Linked DNA regions of Oreochromis niloticus. The protein of the gene in region 2 purifies or fractionates together with the protein of the main gene of each other region. This does not show direct contact. Links are inferred from orthologs where the notes say so. Each region holds a gene or a part of one and is shown on either strand. Other genes may lie near its edges.

Region 1 (7,375 bases), on a different chromosome or scaffold from region 2:
GGCGACATGTGTGTTGCAACACAGCCTAACAACAGGTATAACGGGTCCATAAGTGTGAGTCCAGGCAGGCATAAGTGTCTTTCAGTTGCTAACATTAGCTCATGGGCAGAGATAAAGCTCAGATTTTAAACTGACCAATCAAATTGACAGCTTTGCTTCAAGGCTCAGCTCTCTCCTCATAAAATCTGAATAGAATATGCAGATGCTGCACCAATCCATCTGTCCACTCTTTCCCCCACTTGTGAACAAGATTCCAGGATACTTAAAAACCTGCAGCATTAACAACAGGCCCAGGACCCCATTCTCCTGAAGCATCTCCCACAGGACACCCAAGAGAGTCACAGATACATGAGAGATATAGAGTGGTCAGGCAAACTCCAATGAACTGTCTTCACACAAGGCAATTTCCCATGACTCTGAGAGATGATAGTAATCCAAACTAATACTTGGATTAAGAGTCTTAAACCACTGTATCCCACCCACCCTTAAGCTCCAAGAAAATAGCCTCCCTGCTGACAAGGAGTTCCGAACCAAATCTCAGCTTTGTCTCCGGCCGTGGGCACCGCACTGAGCTGCTGATAGGTTTCTCATCAACATAGACCAGGCTGCTGTAGGGACAGGAAGCGTTTGTCTCTGTCAGCAGGTTGCCACGGTGAATTCTGGGAGTTAAGCCTTGTACGCATAGCATTCTTAGTTCCCACATCTCCCTCCCCCAGCTCAGTGACCATCCACGCCAGGAACAAAACCCTGGGAATGCGAGCTATGCGGAGCTGCAGCTCGGAGACACCTGTTCAGGCAACCAACACGGGTCAAACTCTCCTACACGGAGCCTCGTCTGAGTCACAGCATTTGACTCCACCCTAACCTCCGCTGCTCCCATATACACACTCCAGAGAACTATGTGCACAAAAAACAAAAGAAAATCATCTGGCAGCAGGCATTTGTACAGTCAATTTCCAGGATGCAAACATTTGTACCTTGACCCCTTCAATCATCACCTGAACCCACTAACCATGACAAACCTGATTTAATGAAACCCTCTGTCATGATGCCCGACTGCTGACCTCAAAAACAAGCTGGAGTAATGAACTTGACTAAAATACTTACAAAGTCTCCTGAGAGACTTTTCCTGCCCATTTGGAATGCAGACTAAAGGCCTCCTACCTTTTTCTAGACCAGATTTTTAAAAAAAACACAATAACAAAAAAACTGGGTTATTCCCAGTGAGAGCACAATAGGTGGCCAAAAAAAACTGTAGATTAAACCACACAGAGGAATGTCAGCTCTTCAGAAAGTCCCCTCAGTGGCAGTGAACCATGAGAAAAAGAAGGTCATCCTCTTACCATCTTTTTTTCCTTTTCACTCTCAGCCAAAGCACCACAATGTGGTAAAAGGATACGAACAAAATCACTACTGAGTGATGGGACACAGTTCAGGCACTTTACCTGCCAGCAAGCAGTGAGAGGTTTATTTGGAATAAGGCCACCTAGACATTGATTTAAATTTGGAAAATCCTTGAATTCAATGGGATGTTTGCCAGTGAAGTCCAGCTTTCTTTTTAATGAACTGTTTCCTCCAAACATCACTGCACTTCCTCTTTTACATGACAGCCACATCTGCAGTCAGTGGTTATGAATTTAACTTTCAAGGGAATGAGTGACTCAGAGGAATGAGAGGAATTGAAAACAACAGCTTAATTCAGCAAATTATACTGGTGTCTTGGGTCCCTTTGACTTTTGGCCACTTCAAGAAACCCATTATAGGAAGATACTTTCACTTCTGGACTATCAGGCACTCTTAAGTAAAGATGCACAAAGGGTGTGAGCTATAATTATATGAAGGCAGAGCAATAAGGATTATGAAGGAATTGTGTGAGACAAAACACACACACACACCTGCCTGATCATGATTATGCACATTCAAAATATGCAAAACCAGTGGCGGAGCTGGGAGGCGGTGGCAGCTGGCCAAGTGCTGAGTCTCCCGGTGTGGCAGCCCAGTCAGAGGCTTGGCGATGTCAGCCAGTGTCAAGCTCCGTGTCACCATACTTGACTTCGCAGGGCATAAGGGCTCTGTATTCCCTCTGTCCACACTACAAGGCGTGGATAGAGGGAGAAGGAGCTTTACATTGTAGGTGTGTGTGCTTGTGGAAAGGTTGCATTTATGCTTGCTTTGTGTGTATTTTACCAGGTTGGACTACCTGTGTCGTGTCATTAGGTTGTACATGTAGCCGTGCATGTTGCTATCACTAATAACAACTTATTACGGTCATTTCGAAACATTGTTGTGGGCCCTGCAACACAGCTGCGTTCACTTCCCCACGGAAACCCCACACGAGAAAAGCCGTCAGGTGAAATTTTTATTTTACTACTAAAAAGGCGATATTAGGAAAGAATTTCACATTTCAATGCGCATATAATGTCGGAAGAAGGGGACGAGGTTAACATTTCTTTCGAATAAATCAATTTTACCGTGTAAAATTTGGCACAAGTCCCACTTGTATATTTTGTAGGTTGGTAACAACTGAAGTTCGCTGTTAGGTTAGCGCATACAAAGCAACTCCACCTCTACTATACTGTCACACGGCTAGTCTTGCTACCTATAGCCTTACGCATTTCCCCATGGAACCACTGCAATATCCAAGGCAGCTTTTATTTTAAATACAAATATGTTAGTTTGTTTTCATTGTTCTGACAGCTGTGAGGATAAATAACGTGATGGTTCTACTCACTCGGAGTTCGGAGTTGAATGGCCACGGTGTAGCTACTCCACTGGTTCTTTGGAGGGCAAAACTTTTCACTGGTTTTGTTTCCCACTTTCAAAACCGTCTGTTCTCTCCTTTGTAGACCCCTTAACTCATCCCCGCTCTCTGCGGTGTTTGCTGAGCTTTCAAAACGTTACGCCTCAGCAGACAGTGCCACTCTCCAAGAATCGTAAAGTGCTCTGTCAAGGGGCTGACTTGGAAGCGGTTTGTATATTTAGACACAGCGTTAGCGGGAGGGCGTGCAACAACACAGAGCTGCTCTCAGATCTGTGCCGCGCGGGGCTTTCACCACTCAGGCAACCCCATTCGCTCGTTCATTGGTCAGTGTTCTATCGAGGCGTGTCCAGAGATTCATTCTACATTTTAATTGGCTTGTTTTTGTTGTCCGTCATCCACAAATGCCTTGTAAACTTGCCTTTCCGTAGTAAGCAAGGAGGCACAATTACAATTAAAAATCAGGTCGGTGAGGAAATATGTTCATGGACAAATAGATGGGAAATTTACAGAAGTGCGTCCAAAGCAAAGGTTATTTGTGCCAATTTAATCATAAGGAGTGAACGTCTTGATGCATGTTCAATCATCCAGGTAAGTAAATCTCCAAAGGTTGATTCTGTTCATCTGGACATAAGGAGTGAAGTAATTCATTTTCATTTATCGAACAGTAGCATAGTCGGACTTTTTTGTTTTGTTTTGCTTCGAGCCGTTAATGTTTTGTCTAATGTTTTGCCAGTTTTTATTCCCTGGATCTCAGTGAAACAGTTTGTAATCTGTATCTTTTTTAAATAGCTGGAAAAGAAATCAGAACTAGAAAAACCACAACCCAACAGAATCTAGTGTTCAGGTGAGTTTTTGTACCTTTCGTACTAGAGCCATAAAAGTGGTGTGATACCTCCCCCCTACCGGCCACATTAAGATAGAAAGCAACAAGCTGCCCAATGACGGGCCAGAAGTGATTTGATTTATTTCTGCTTTATTCTTAAAACAAATAAACAAATACGTAAATAAATATATTAATTAATTAATGGAATTTGAATATAGCTCAGAGACATCATACACATGGACACACGCAACACTGGGCGTGTGTGAACAAGTTGCTGAAATATGCTAACAATAGAAACACCCCCTGTTTGTGGCCTCTTGTCCCCACATTAAATTGCACTGTGAGCCAAAATGCTTAACTGCAGCTTCTTTTGTCCTCGGGCTTGGGATATGTTGTGGGCTGCATTGTCTGGGAACAATGGACTCCTGCAGCCCCCTTGTGACAGCTACTCAGACTTTAATACAACCTGGTCAAACTCTGTGTTGGGAACGTAGTACGCGTTTATAATTCAGTTCATAACGATTCCTTTGGGGATTTATATATTTATGTTTGGATTTGTTTTTTTTATCATTACTATATCCCTTTCATAAATTTTTAACAGACAGATTTTTTAAAAAGTTGACTGAAAGCAGAATAGTACAGTAATAAAAAATGGCCCCTGTTTCATTTGTTAATCTTACAAAGGAAAGTCTGTCATTCAAAATCTTCCCAGTCGTTTGTGGTATACCATAAACCGTGTTTTAGATAGTGCAGTTTTACTGATTGCTGACGCTTTGATGAATATTACCTGCGATGTCAAAGTACAACCACTAGATGTCAGGAGAGAACAAGTCACTGGTTCTCAGATCTGTAAACATGATATTTATATTCATAATCGTTTATTCAGTATGGAGGACCACAAGAGCCACGCGCATCAAATCCAAATTCTGGGTAGAAAATATCCGATGCAGCAACCCAGATTAACGTTTTTGCAAGTTTTGAGGGGACTCCAGTCGCTTTGTGGCCCGGATGTTGCCATAGAAAGGGGGTGTGTGTAGTTGCAGCGGTTGCAGCTAGGTTGCCAGGTCTGCAAAAAAAATTGAAGTTAATGTATACTCGTCATTTTTCCAAATACTTATCAGTGACGTCATAGTGCTGGCACACGAGGTGATTTTAATGCGCCATTAAAACATTTATGTGTAAGTTTTACATATCCAAATTCGGTAATGTAAAAGTAAAATTAACAGTATGAGCTTAACAAATATATGTACATGACAGAGAGCAACAAAAACTCACACATATAATGTTATTAGCATGACTGGGTAAACATTTTCTGACTTCACGAAGGCGTGCTCCTAGTGGTGGATTTGGCCTATCTGGCAACCCCGGTCTCAGCTCAGCTTCTCTGCTACGTTTGCTCGGCTGTTAGAGACACGGCTGTGAGCCAGAGTGGGAGATGGACTGAGTGAGGGCGCTCTTTCGACCAGTGCAGCCGATTTAGCATTGCAATACCCAGAAGCTAGGCTGAAAAATAACTGGCGATTTCAGGTCGCTGAATCAACACGAAAACATAGTGCAGTTATCAGTCTTTCACATCCCACTCCAATCACACTAACACGGCATTGATGGTAATGTATGCAAGGAAACAACCGAGACTCGGCGATGGGTAAACACCTCCTTTTAACCCTACTTATTCAGATTTTTTTTTCCTTTTCCTCATAGCTACGCTTTGACAATCCGCCATTTTTACTGAAACCAAAATAACTGTGTGGAAACTTGTATCCCTCACTCGCTGCGGGGCTTTCACCGATTTCTGAACATTGACATTTGAAGCTTAAAATTCACAACTGGTTCCTTTTTCTTTGCAGGTGCGACCGAAGAGATTCTCAGCCCTATCAGGTACTTGTTAGCCAAGCGTCTCCTGCTAGCTTGCTAGCAGCAAATAAGATTAAAATGGACACTCTAATGCAGGCTTCTGGAGAGCACAACAGGCCCCAGTCAGTGCGGAAAATAACACAAAAAGTAGAAAGGTTTGCTTAAAACCTCCATTGAAGCCCTGTAAATGTATCCTAACGTTAGCATTGCTAGTAAAGACTTGACAGAGTGAACATATTCGTCGAAGTCGGCTGTTTTGGAAAAGGTACGGGCGAGTTTTATTACAGCTGAAAGCTAATGATAGCTTGTTACTGTTAGCTTGCTTGCTAGCCAGTCCGATTAGGGCCTGACCGCAATCTGTCATTTTAAGGATATAGCCAGTTAAGCTTCCTTAATATCAAAGTGCTTGACATTTATACAGCAAACCAGTGTATTCACTACCTAATTCAAATTGCGATAGCCAAGTGAAATGGCGAGCTAATACTCGTAGGTCGGATAAAATGTTGTTTACTTCGTCATTTAACATGTGTTAGTTTGCATGCATACGTTGTTATGAGCAGAAATACGGGCTAAATTAACGTGGCTGTTAAATATAAGCTTATAGAAGGGGCGAAGTCGATAAATAAGCTGCTCAATTTATACATATGTATTTCCTCGTGCTAATTAATTTCTGCATCATTGAAACTATGAATGAAATGACATGACAGTACTTTAAAGAGCTGAGGACTGTACTCACCATGGCTGCTTTTAGAAACCTGCTAATGGTGATAACAGAAGCGTAGATCTATTTTAAGTGTGAGGTTTTTAGTAAGGCATTTGATTTGTGTTTACAGACTCTCAAATACTCATCCAAGAGCCATCCAGGAGGGGACCACCGGCATGACAAGATGCGAGACTCTTCAGACATCACCCCTCCCTGCAAGATGCTCAGGAGGTCTGACAGCCCTGAAAACAAGCACATCGACAGCACGGGGCACAGTAGAGCAAAGGGTGTCCACACGCACCGGGCCAGAGACAGGGATGGAGGTGAGAGCGGGGAATAAAATGAGTTTAGAAAGAAATAAAGCTGCTCTCTTTAATTACTCCAGAAACAGGTGCTCTTTCTCTTAGTGAGGCGCTGTTTTGTTTTTTTGTTTTTCTTACAACTGAGTGCTTCAGTATTTAAACTGCACCTGTCAGTTTTACACCGTGGGTGATCCGGCCATGGTAGTTTTTGAACAAACAAATTTAAACTAAACGCGTTGTTAAGCTGTCGCTATGTGTTTTAATTTTAACCACTGAGCATTAGTCTCTGCAGTTTGCATTTGATTGAATGAATGGTTATCGTGGTTTCCAACCTCACAGGTAGATGTTCTGTGAGTACAGTTAAAATTGAGACCAGAGTAAGACCACACTCTGCACAGACATTCAAGTCTTGAAGGACACGTTTTGTGGAGGCGAATAACTCCTTTTGTTGCCTCACCTTGGTCAACTGCTAATTTTAACAAGATTATTTCAGTACAGTTTTGTCAAAGTGGACTTTTTGGTAAACTTTGAGTAACTGGCACGCAAGCAGTTGAATCCATGCATGGAGTATTGTGGTGTTTTGAGCTCCTTTTCAGACATGCTCTCCTCTCTGGAATCTGAGTGTCAGCTGTCCTGGTCACTTTTCTGCAAAAAGTCACTACAGCAATCTAATACTACTCGAACACTAGTAACAGCGCCACAAGTTTGCATGCAAGCAGCCACGTGATGGATAGGTTCTCACAATATAAGGACAGCACGCGTCTTTCTTTTCCAGATGAAAACAGCTGTTTGCTAACTAGTCTGACCTTTAGGCATTGGCCACATTTCATTACATTCCAGCACCAAAGATCCATTTTGCATGTTTTTAAGTGTAGGAAGTGTATCCATACCCCTACAAACTGTGTGTCTTGTCTTTCCCTCATTGTTTGCTC
Region 2 (7,833 bases):
ATCAGTATAAGAGAAGAGTGCTAAGTGTCAGTCGTTCATGTTGCAGATGTTACTCAAGATCAGTGCAGATTGTTCATGACACATAAAATGAAAGAAGCAAGCAGAATGATGCTAAAGCAACCGCAGATATTTAAACTGTGAGATACAATATTCAAGAATCAGGTACAACACACGGGTGCAGTACATACTGGGATATGTGGCTGGTGAAAACAAGTTATAGCACATTAAAAGTTGGAGCCAGCCTTTTCTGATCTTGGAAGCTAAGCAGGGTCAGGCCTGGTTAGCACTAGGATAACAAAGGATAACAGGGGTAAACTGTATGTGGGGGTTAGGGTTACCAGCTGTAAGTCAGACTATGATCCCGGTCAATTAGCAAACTGTTGACATGTTAGCAAACTGGCTGCTACGGCTGATAAAACAACAGCAGTAGTGAAAATAAACGTCACAGTTTAACACGAAGTTTGTCTACACACAAACGATTAGGAGAAAAAAGTCGTAACCATTACCACAAGAACGAGCTCTGGTGGAGTGAAAACATTTTTCTAGCAGTGCTTCTTACTGTCATAACCATTCAGACCTTTACAGGGAAAAGCTGGGTGCTCCATCAAACCACTGATCAGCAAACCTTTGAGCTTCTCCCATCCACCACTGTTTGGTTTACTCAATTCTACAGTAAAGATACAGGAGTTACATTACAATGTGACCTCTGACCTCTTCTTTAAGGTCAAATAAGATCAAACCTTCATAAAATGTCTTTTAACTTTAAAACTATGCTTTAAATTCCAGTGCCTCTGGTTGGATTGGTAACATTTATATGGGAATTCCAAATATCACATCCAACATTGCATCCAAACATTTGACCTGTGACCTCATGTCTACATTTCATTCTCAGAATTCTTTCTTTTATGTGTGTAAATACAATTGCGGGTTCACTTCCTTTAGTTTCTATTTAGTTAAACTATGAAGAACACTGACATTTCTAGCATGAAAACCAATTAGGAGTTTATTTTAAAGGACCTGTATTTTTTTTTTATTTACTACTGCTGATTATTAAAACAAAACTATGTCTTATCCGATTACTCGAAAAAGAAATGGAATACTTGTTTACTAAAATAATCATAAGCTGCCGCTCTCGTCCAAACCATCTCAGCCCGAGCTCTGTCCTGTCCATCCTGCTCACTCGCAGTGAAAACTTGAACAGCTCCATCTCCCATCTTTTTGATCTAAACACCATTTTGTAAATCCTCCCTTTTCCTGAGCTGCGATCCTTCCGTCACAAAACCACCCGGCTGCTAGTCTCTACCTCTGACCTCCCAACCCCAGGGATTAAAGTCATCTACCTTCACTACTTCTGCTAGTTGCCAGTTCAGTGTTACACTTGGGAACAATGCTTGTGTGACTGCACTGTGCCAAGTGTAAAGTTTGGTGGAGCGAGGATCACGGTGCGAGGTTGTTTTACAGGAGCTGGGCCCGGCCCCTTCAGTTAAAGGAACTCTTACCCTAACATTAGACATTCGGATGGACTCCCCCTTTGACCTCAAGCTGAACTCCAAATTTTGGAGCAGCAAATGTCTTTCTTTGAAGAGTGCTGTTAACAAATATCTTCAAATCAAAAGAAAGGACCAGTGACTGTACAGCTACACCTTCTATTCCAGGGGTGTCCAACTGTAGCTGTAGGCCTCGAGGGCCGGTGTCCTGCAGGTTTTAGATCTCACCCTGGGTCAGCACACCTGAATCAAATGATTAGTTCATTATCTCTGGAGAACTTCAAGACATGTTCAGGGGGTCACTTAGCAATTTAAATCAGCTGTGATGGATCAAGGACACATCTAAAACCTGCAGGACACCGGCCCTCGAGGCCTGGAGTTGGACACCCCTGTCCTAGTCTCTGTGATTAATGGCAATTCAAGCTCATTTAAAAGCTACAATTTCAAATATTTTACAAATACAAATTAATCTTCATCATTAAACTCAATCTTGTTTAGTCTTAAATTAAATGGCAATTATCAGAATTTAGTCTGTGTGTGTCAACAGAGAAACTAAAGCGATGATGCTATGTGGAAATGCCGAACCCCCTGTAAGGGTTGGGGCAGGCTCGTGGGACAAGGCGTGCCCAATTTGGATAAACAGTTGGGAAAATGAATGAATGGATGGATGGATGGATTTCCCAATTAAAATTTTACTATGCAAAAAGCCATAGAGTGAGTTTTCTTGTTTATCTGGTCAGTTAAAGTTTAGATTTACAGTTTAGTTTTTGTTCACTGCACTGTTACTCACTCTGAGGTACAAATGTCACATAAGCAGATTACTGTGCGCATGTGATCATTGACAGTACAACGCTGTGAATGCAAAACAACTGTTGTGTCATCCACTTCAGACTGGACCCACTCCAAGGACCCCACGTTCACATTCAAATGTCATACAGAGCTAACTTATCCTGCTGATAAGGCCAGGATGCAGTAAAGGCTACACCCACCTACACGTCACGCTGTCAGTGAATTGGCACTGATTATTGAAGTTAATTCAAAGCACACATGACTGAGTCCGAAGCCAATCTAAGCTTTACGAACGACGAGCTGAAAGTCTTTTTTTCTCAGCCGTTTAGTTTTGTGTGTCGTAAAATGACAACAGCAGGACTAAAACAGTTTGACAAAGATAAGCGGAGCATCCGGTTAATGTGCGCACACACACGTAAATGATTTACCTGAAGAACTTGGTTTACTTTCCGAGCCCCTGATTCCAATGAAACATTCTTTTGTTCGGTTCCTGCTGATCTGTCGTGTCTCCTCGGCACGCACCGACCCTCCTGAAGTTACGAAACGCGCTGCTGCAGCCGCTCCATCTTGGACGTCACCGTGGGCTTTTTATTCTTTCACCGGGAAAAAGAGTTTGTTCGAGGCCAAGGAGTCTTTTTCCATGTTGAGAGTAAAGAAAGAAGCGGTACATGAGAAGTAGCAGGAAGCACCCCCTTCCTCCCCCCCCCACACACACCGCCTGGCCTCAGTATGAGAGGAATGTCCATCCTCCCTCCCCCTCCTTAATGGAAACTGGATGAAAAAGTTTTTGGAACAGGGAAATCCCTCCTTCTCTCTCCTGCTCTCCAGACTGGGCTCTAACAAAGGTCTAACCAGCAGGAAAAAGTTAAAAGCTCAACTCTGCGCCCGAAGTGTGTCATGAAACACGATCAAGTGTTAGTTTATTATTATTTGAAATGGCTGTTTAGGATGGCGACTTGGTGTTTTAACGAGCACAGTTTAAAGATAAAAGTTTAAATGTGCTCACTGGGACACTCCCGGCACAATCAGAGGCTCAAGTGAAAAAGCTGAAAAAGGGGAAGAAGTGACAAAGAGGGCTTTGTCCGTCCCAGCGGAGCTCTGCTACATTTAAGTGCTGTCGGAATTTCGTGAGAAGGTGCACATATGTTGGTTTTGCTTCACGTCATTTAGCCCAAATCCACATACAGTCATTTAGCACCATCTGTTTCAAGCCCTGCCTCGACCCTGTGACGATAATAATGCGTTACTATCAATCATTAAACAAGTGCTGTATACAGAGAGAGGCCCAGGATCCCTGTTGCTGTGAGCTAACAGTGCTAACCACTGCTCCACAGTTCTATGGTGGGCTTCAGGGCTGCTTCTTCATCATGTGATTTTCATTTTTTTTACATTACTTCTTTTCACTTACTGGCATTTTAGCTTTGCCATCTGCCATTCAGCTTCTTGGTCATTTCTGTGAAGTCAGTTTACGGCTGCAGGATTTCTGACCAGAGTGGGCTCTGTGACATCTGCACTGTATCTTTATATAGGTCAGTACATGTAGGCCATCTTCACCAGAAGGTGGCGCTGCTTTATTCAACTCTATTACATTTGAATTAGCTATTAGCGCCCAGTGCAGATCTTTTCTTGGACCCATATCACTGTGTTGTAATGGGACAAACGCAACATCACACATTCTCTCCCCGTGTCTTGGCTAACACACACACATGTTCACCAACCGCAGTCAACATCAGGAGGAATGAACATATTTAGTCAAGTTGATGCTATAAGCTAGGCTACCACAGATTTAGCCATGCTAGTGGGATTAAAGAGAAGCTGGTTAAGCAGGGGTCCTCACAGGCTGACCGGATCACACTCATTTAACAGTTATTTCCAATGAACCAGCTTCTGTATATCATACACATATTATATTGAATATTTTCGTACTTATCTTATGAGGACCACTTTTTTGGTTTACTAAACATTTTAAAATGCCCCATACCATGTTATGGAAATTTGACATAAATGAATCTGCACAAACAGGTTGTCACTCTGAGGTTTTAATTTGTCTTTGCAAAGGGGTCAGACAACAACAGTGCATCAGCAGACTGCATGGCTTTGACAGAGAACAACAACAATCATTCACAGAAACAAGTTACAGTGCATCCAGAAAGGATTCACAGCGTTTCCTCATATTTTCATGTTACAGCTTAATTCAAACATTAAATTCATTTCTCACTTCAAATTCTACACACAAAATGACAAGTTAAAAAAAGACTTTGATGTTCTTGCAAATTTCTTAAAAATAAAGAACAAAAACATTACATGCACTCACAGCCTTTGTCGTGACATTCAAAACTGAGCTAAGGTGCTTCCTGTTTCCACTGTTCATCTGTCAGATGTGTCTACAACTTGATTGGAGTCCACCTGTGGTAAATTCAGTTTACTGGACATGATCTGGAAAGTACACACCTGTCTCTGTAAGGTCCAAACTATGGACAGGTGTCAGAGCACCAACCGAGCCATTAAATCCAAGGAACTGTATGTAGACCTCAGTGACAGGATTGTATTGAGGCACAGGTCTGGAGAAGGGTACGAAAAGATTCTGCAGCACTGAAGTACAATGAGTACAGTGGACTCCATCATGCATAGATGGGAGATATTTGGAGCCACCAGGACTCTACCTAGAGCTGGAGGTGTCCAAGAACCTGATGGTCACTCGGACAGAGCTCCAGTGTTGCTCTGTGGACAGAGAACCTTCCAGAAGTCCAACCATTTCTGCAGCACTCCACCAATCAGGCCTGTATGGTAGAATGGTCAGACTGAGGCCACTCCTCAGTGGAAGGTGACAGCTCACCTGGAGTTTCCCAGAAAGCACCTAAAGGATTCTCAGACCACGAGAAACACAATTCTCTGGTCTGATGAAACAAAGGTTGAACTCTTTGGCCTGAATGCCAAGCATCATGGCACCACTCATTGCCTGCCAATAAAATCGTTACAGTGAAGCACGGTGGTGGAAGCATCATGCTGTGGGGATGTTTTTCAGCAGAGGGAACTGAGAAACTGATAGAGTAGTCAGGGTCGAGGGAAAGATGAATGCAGTTATGTGTCCAGAGCTCTATGGATCGCAGACTGGAACAAAGGTTCATCTTCTAACAGGACAACGTTCCTAACCACACAGCCAAGATAACAAATGAGTGTGTTGATGCATGCTCAATCATCTAGGTAAGCAAAAAGTTGATTCTGTTCATCTGGATGTTTTCAGTGGGAGAAACATTTCATCACTCACCCAGGTGACTTCTTCAGGCTCAGCTGACCGCAGGTTTCCCCAACCTTATAAACAGTAGAGTTGGATGTCTCGAGACCGGTCTTGGTCTCGAGTCATTTTTTCAGAAGCATGGGGTCTTTTGGAGTGTAATTTATTAGTTAGATGCCTGACTGACAACTGTATAAAACAAAAACAACACACGAAGCACAGAGCGCACCGTCGTAAATTCCCCCTAATTTTGGTATGATCCGAGCTCAGGCACTAGGCGACTGAGCACAGCACCCATGTGAGCGAGGGGGGAGAAGCTGCTGCCTGCAAGTTTGCTGCAGACAGAGGAGAGCTTAAGTTTGACCAGGTACCAAAACAAATCATTCGTACTGTACAAATAATGTAAATATGACGGTGTATCACAAAAGATTGATATCAAACCGATATTACTGCGTTATTTGCTCTTTGAGTGAATCAACAAATGGATAAATAAAATGCCGAACGACAGTGCTGATTTTTTAGAAAGTCTTAGCTTACATTTCATATTTTCAGTTCTTACCCTCCACGGCTAAACAAACTCTCTAAATCGGTTTCAATTGTGTACTGATGAACACAAGAATGGACATAAGGAGCTTCTTTTAAAGAAAAAACTCAGGTAGATGTTATTTTATATATTATGCTTTGTATGTTGTTTAGTATATCTATGCAAGACAAGAGGAATTTCAATACACAGCAGTATATTCACAGATGAAACCAGATATTTACACTTTAGGGAGAAAACATAAACTTTTTTTGTTACTGTTAAACATCAATTTAGAGTAAACTTGTTTTGTTTTAGATAAATAAATGTTGAAATATCTTTTGAATTAGTTAAATGTCAGAATAAAAAGAGGGAGCTGTCTATTTTAATCACTTTCATCAAATTTAGGAGTATATACACTAAGTTTATTGTTAATTAATAAGGAAACTCCAGACAATTCCATTCTGAGCTTAAGAAGCTTCTGATTGGTTAGTAGAGTCCATGTGAGTAAATTGGTGGCACACCTGTGGATGCATATAAGGCAAAACACAGAGCCTGTTTCTTTGACATGGGAAAATCAAGACATGTCAACCAAAACACCAGGAAAAGAACTGTGGAGCTCCATAAGTGTGGCTCAGTTTTGAATACAAAATACAAAAGTTAACAAATATGTTTTTTATATTTATCAATCTAAAAAAAATAATCATTTAGTCTGATTTGATGTTACAATTAAAGTGTTTGTGTTTTTATCTGCAGAGTGTGTAAATATCTGGTTTCCACTGTATATTTGATGATGTTGGTGTTTGGCTTGATTGTCAGCACAAAGAGGGAGAGAGAGGAGCAGAGAGGGAGAGAGAGAGGAACAGAGAGGGAGAGAGAGAGAGAGAGAGAGGAACAGAGAGGGAGAGAGAGAGGAACAGAGAGGGAGAGAGAGAGAGAGAGAGGAACAGAGAGGGAGAGAGAGAGGAACAGAGAGGGAGAGAGAGAGAGAGAGAGGAACAGAGAGGGAGAGAGAGAGAGAGAGAGAGGAACAGAGAGAGAGAGAGAGAGGAACAGAGAGGGAGAGAGAGAGAGAGGGGAACAGAGAGGGAGAGAGAGGAACAGAGAGGGAGAGAGAGAGGAACAGAGAGGGAGAGAGAGAGAGAGAGAGGAACAGAGAGGGAGAGAGAGAGGAACAGAGAGGGAGAGAGAGAGAGAGAGAGGAACAGAGAGGGAGAGAGAGAGGAACAGAGAGGGAGAGAGAGAGGAACAGAGAGGGAGAGAGAGAGAGAGAGAAAAAAGAGAGAGGAACAGAGAGGGAGAGAGAGAGGAACAGAGAGGGAGAGAGAGAGAGAGAGAGAGGAACAGAGAGAGAGAGAGAGGAACAGAGAGGAGAGAGAGAGAGAGGGAACAGAGAGGGAGAGAGAGGAACAGAGAGGGAGAGAGAGAGGAACAGAGAGGGAGAGAGAGAGAGAGAGGAACAGAGAGGGAGAGAGAGGAACAGAGAGGGAGAGAGAGAGGAACAGAGAGGAACAGAGAGGGAGAGAGAGGAACAGAGAGGGAGAGAGAGGAACAGAGAGGAACAGAGAGGGAGAGAGAGAGAGAGAGAGGAACAGAGAGGGAGAGAGAGAGGAACAGAGAGGGAGAGAGAGAGAGAGGAACAGAGAGGGAGAGAGAGAGAGAGAGAGGAACAGAGAGGGAGAGAGAGAGAACAGAGAGGGAGAGAGAGAGGACTACAGAGAGGGAGAGAGAGAGAGGAACAGAGAGGGAGAGAGAGGAACAGAGAGGGAGAGAGAGAGGAACAGAGGGAGAGAGAGAGAGAG

The links.
Region 1: the proteins of amot (region 2) and mpp7a purify together in Homo sapiens (affinity purification with mass spectrometry; 3 studies listed by BioGRID and IntAct, with this or other methods). This does not show direct contact. The link is inferred for Oreochromis niloticus from reciprocal best matches to the Homo sapiens genes AMOT and MPP7.

Annotation. Positions count from the first base shown.
Region 1 is NC_031974.2:29,246,100-29,253,474, forward strand, and holds the start of mpp7a (MAGUK p55 subfamily member 7), read right to left. Parts: upstream 3,023-7,375; 5' UTR 2,732-3,022; intron 1-2,731. Other genes in the region: waca (WW domain-containing adapter protein with coiled-coil), read left to right, coding at 3,334-3,349, 3,551-3,605, 5,432-5,462, 6,272-6,464. UniProt on the Homo sapiens protein: Acts as an important adapter that promotes epithelial cell polarity and tight junction formation via its interaction with DLG1. Involved in the assembly of protein complexes at sites of cell-cell contact.
Region 2 is NC_031975.2:392,288-400,120, forward strand, and holds the start of amot (angiomotin), read right to left. Parts: upstream 3,020-7,833; 5' UTR 2,705-3,019; intron 668-2,704; 5' UTR 606-667; coding exon 578-605; intron 1-577.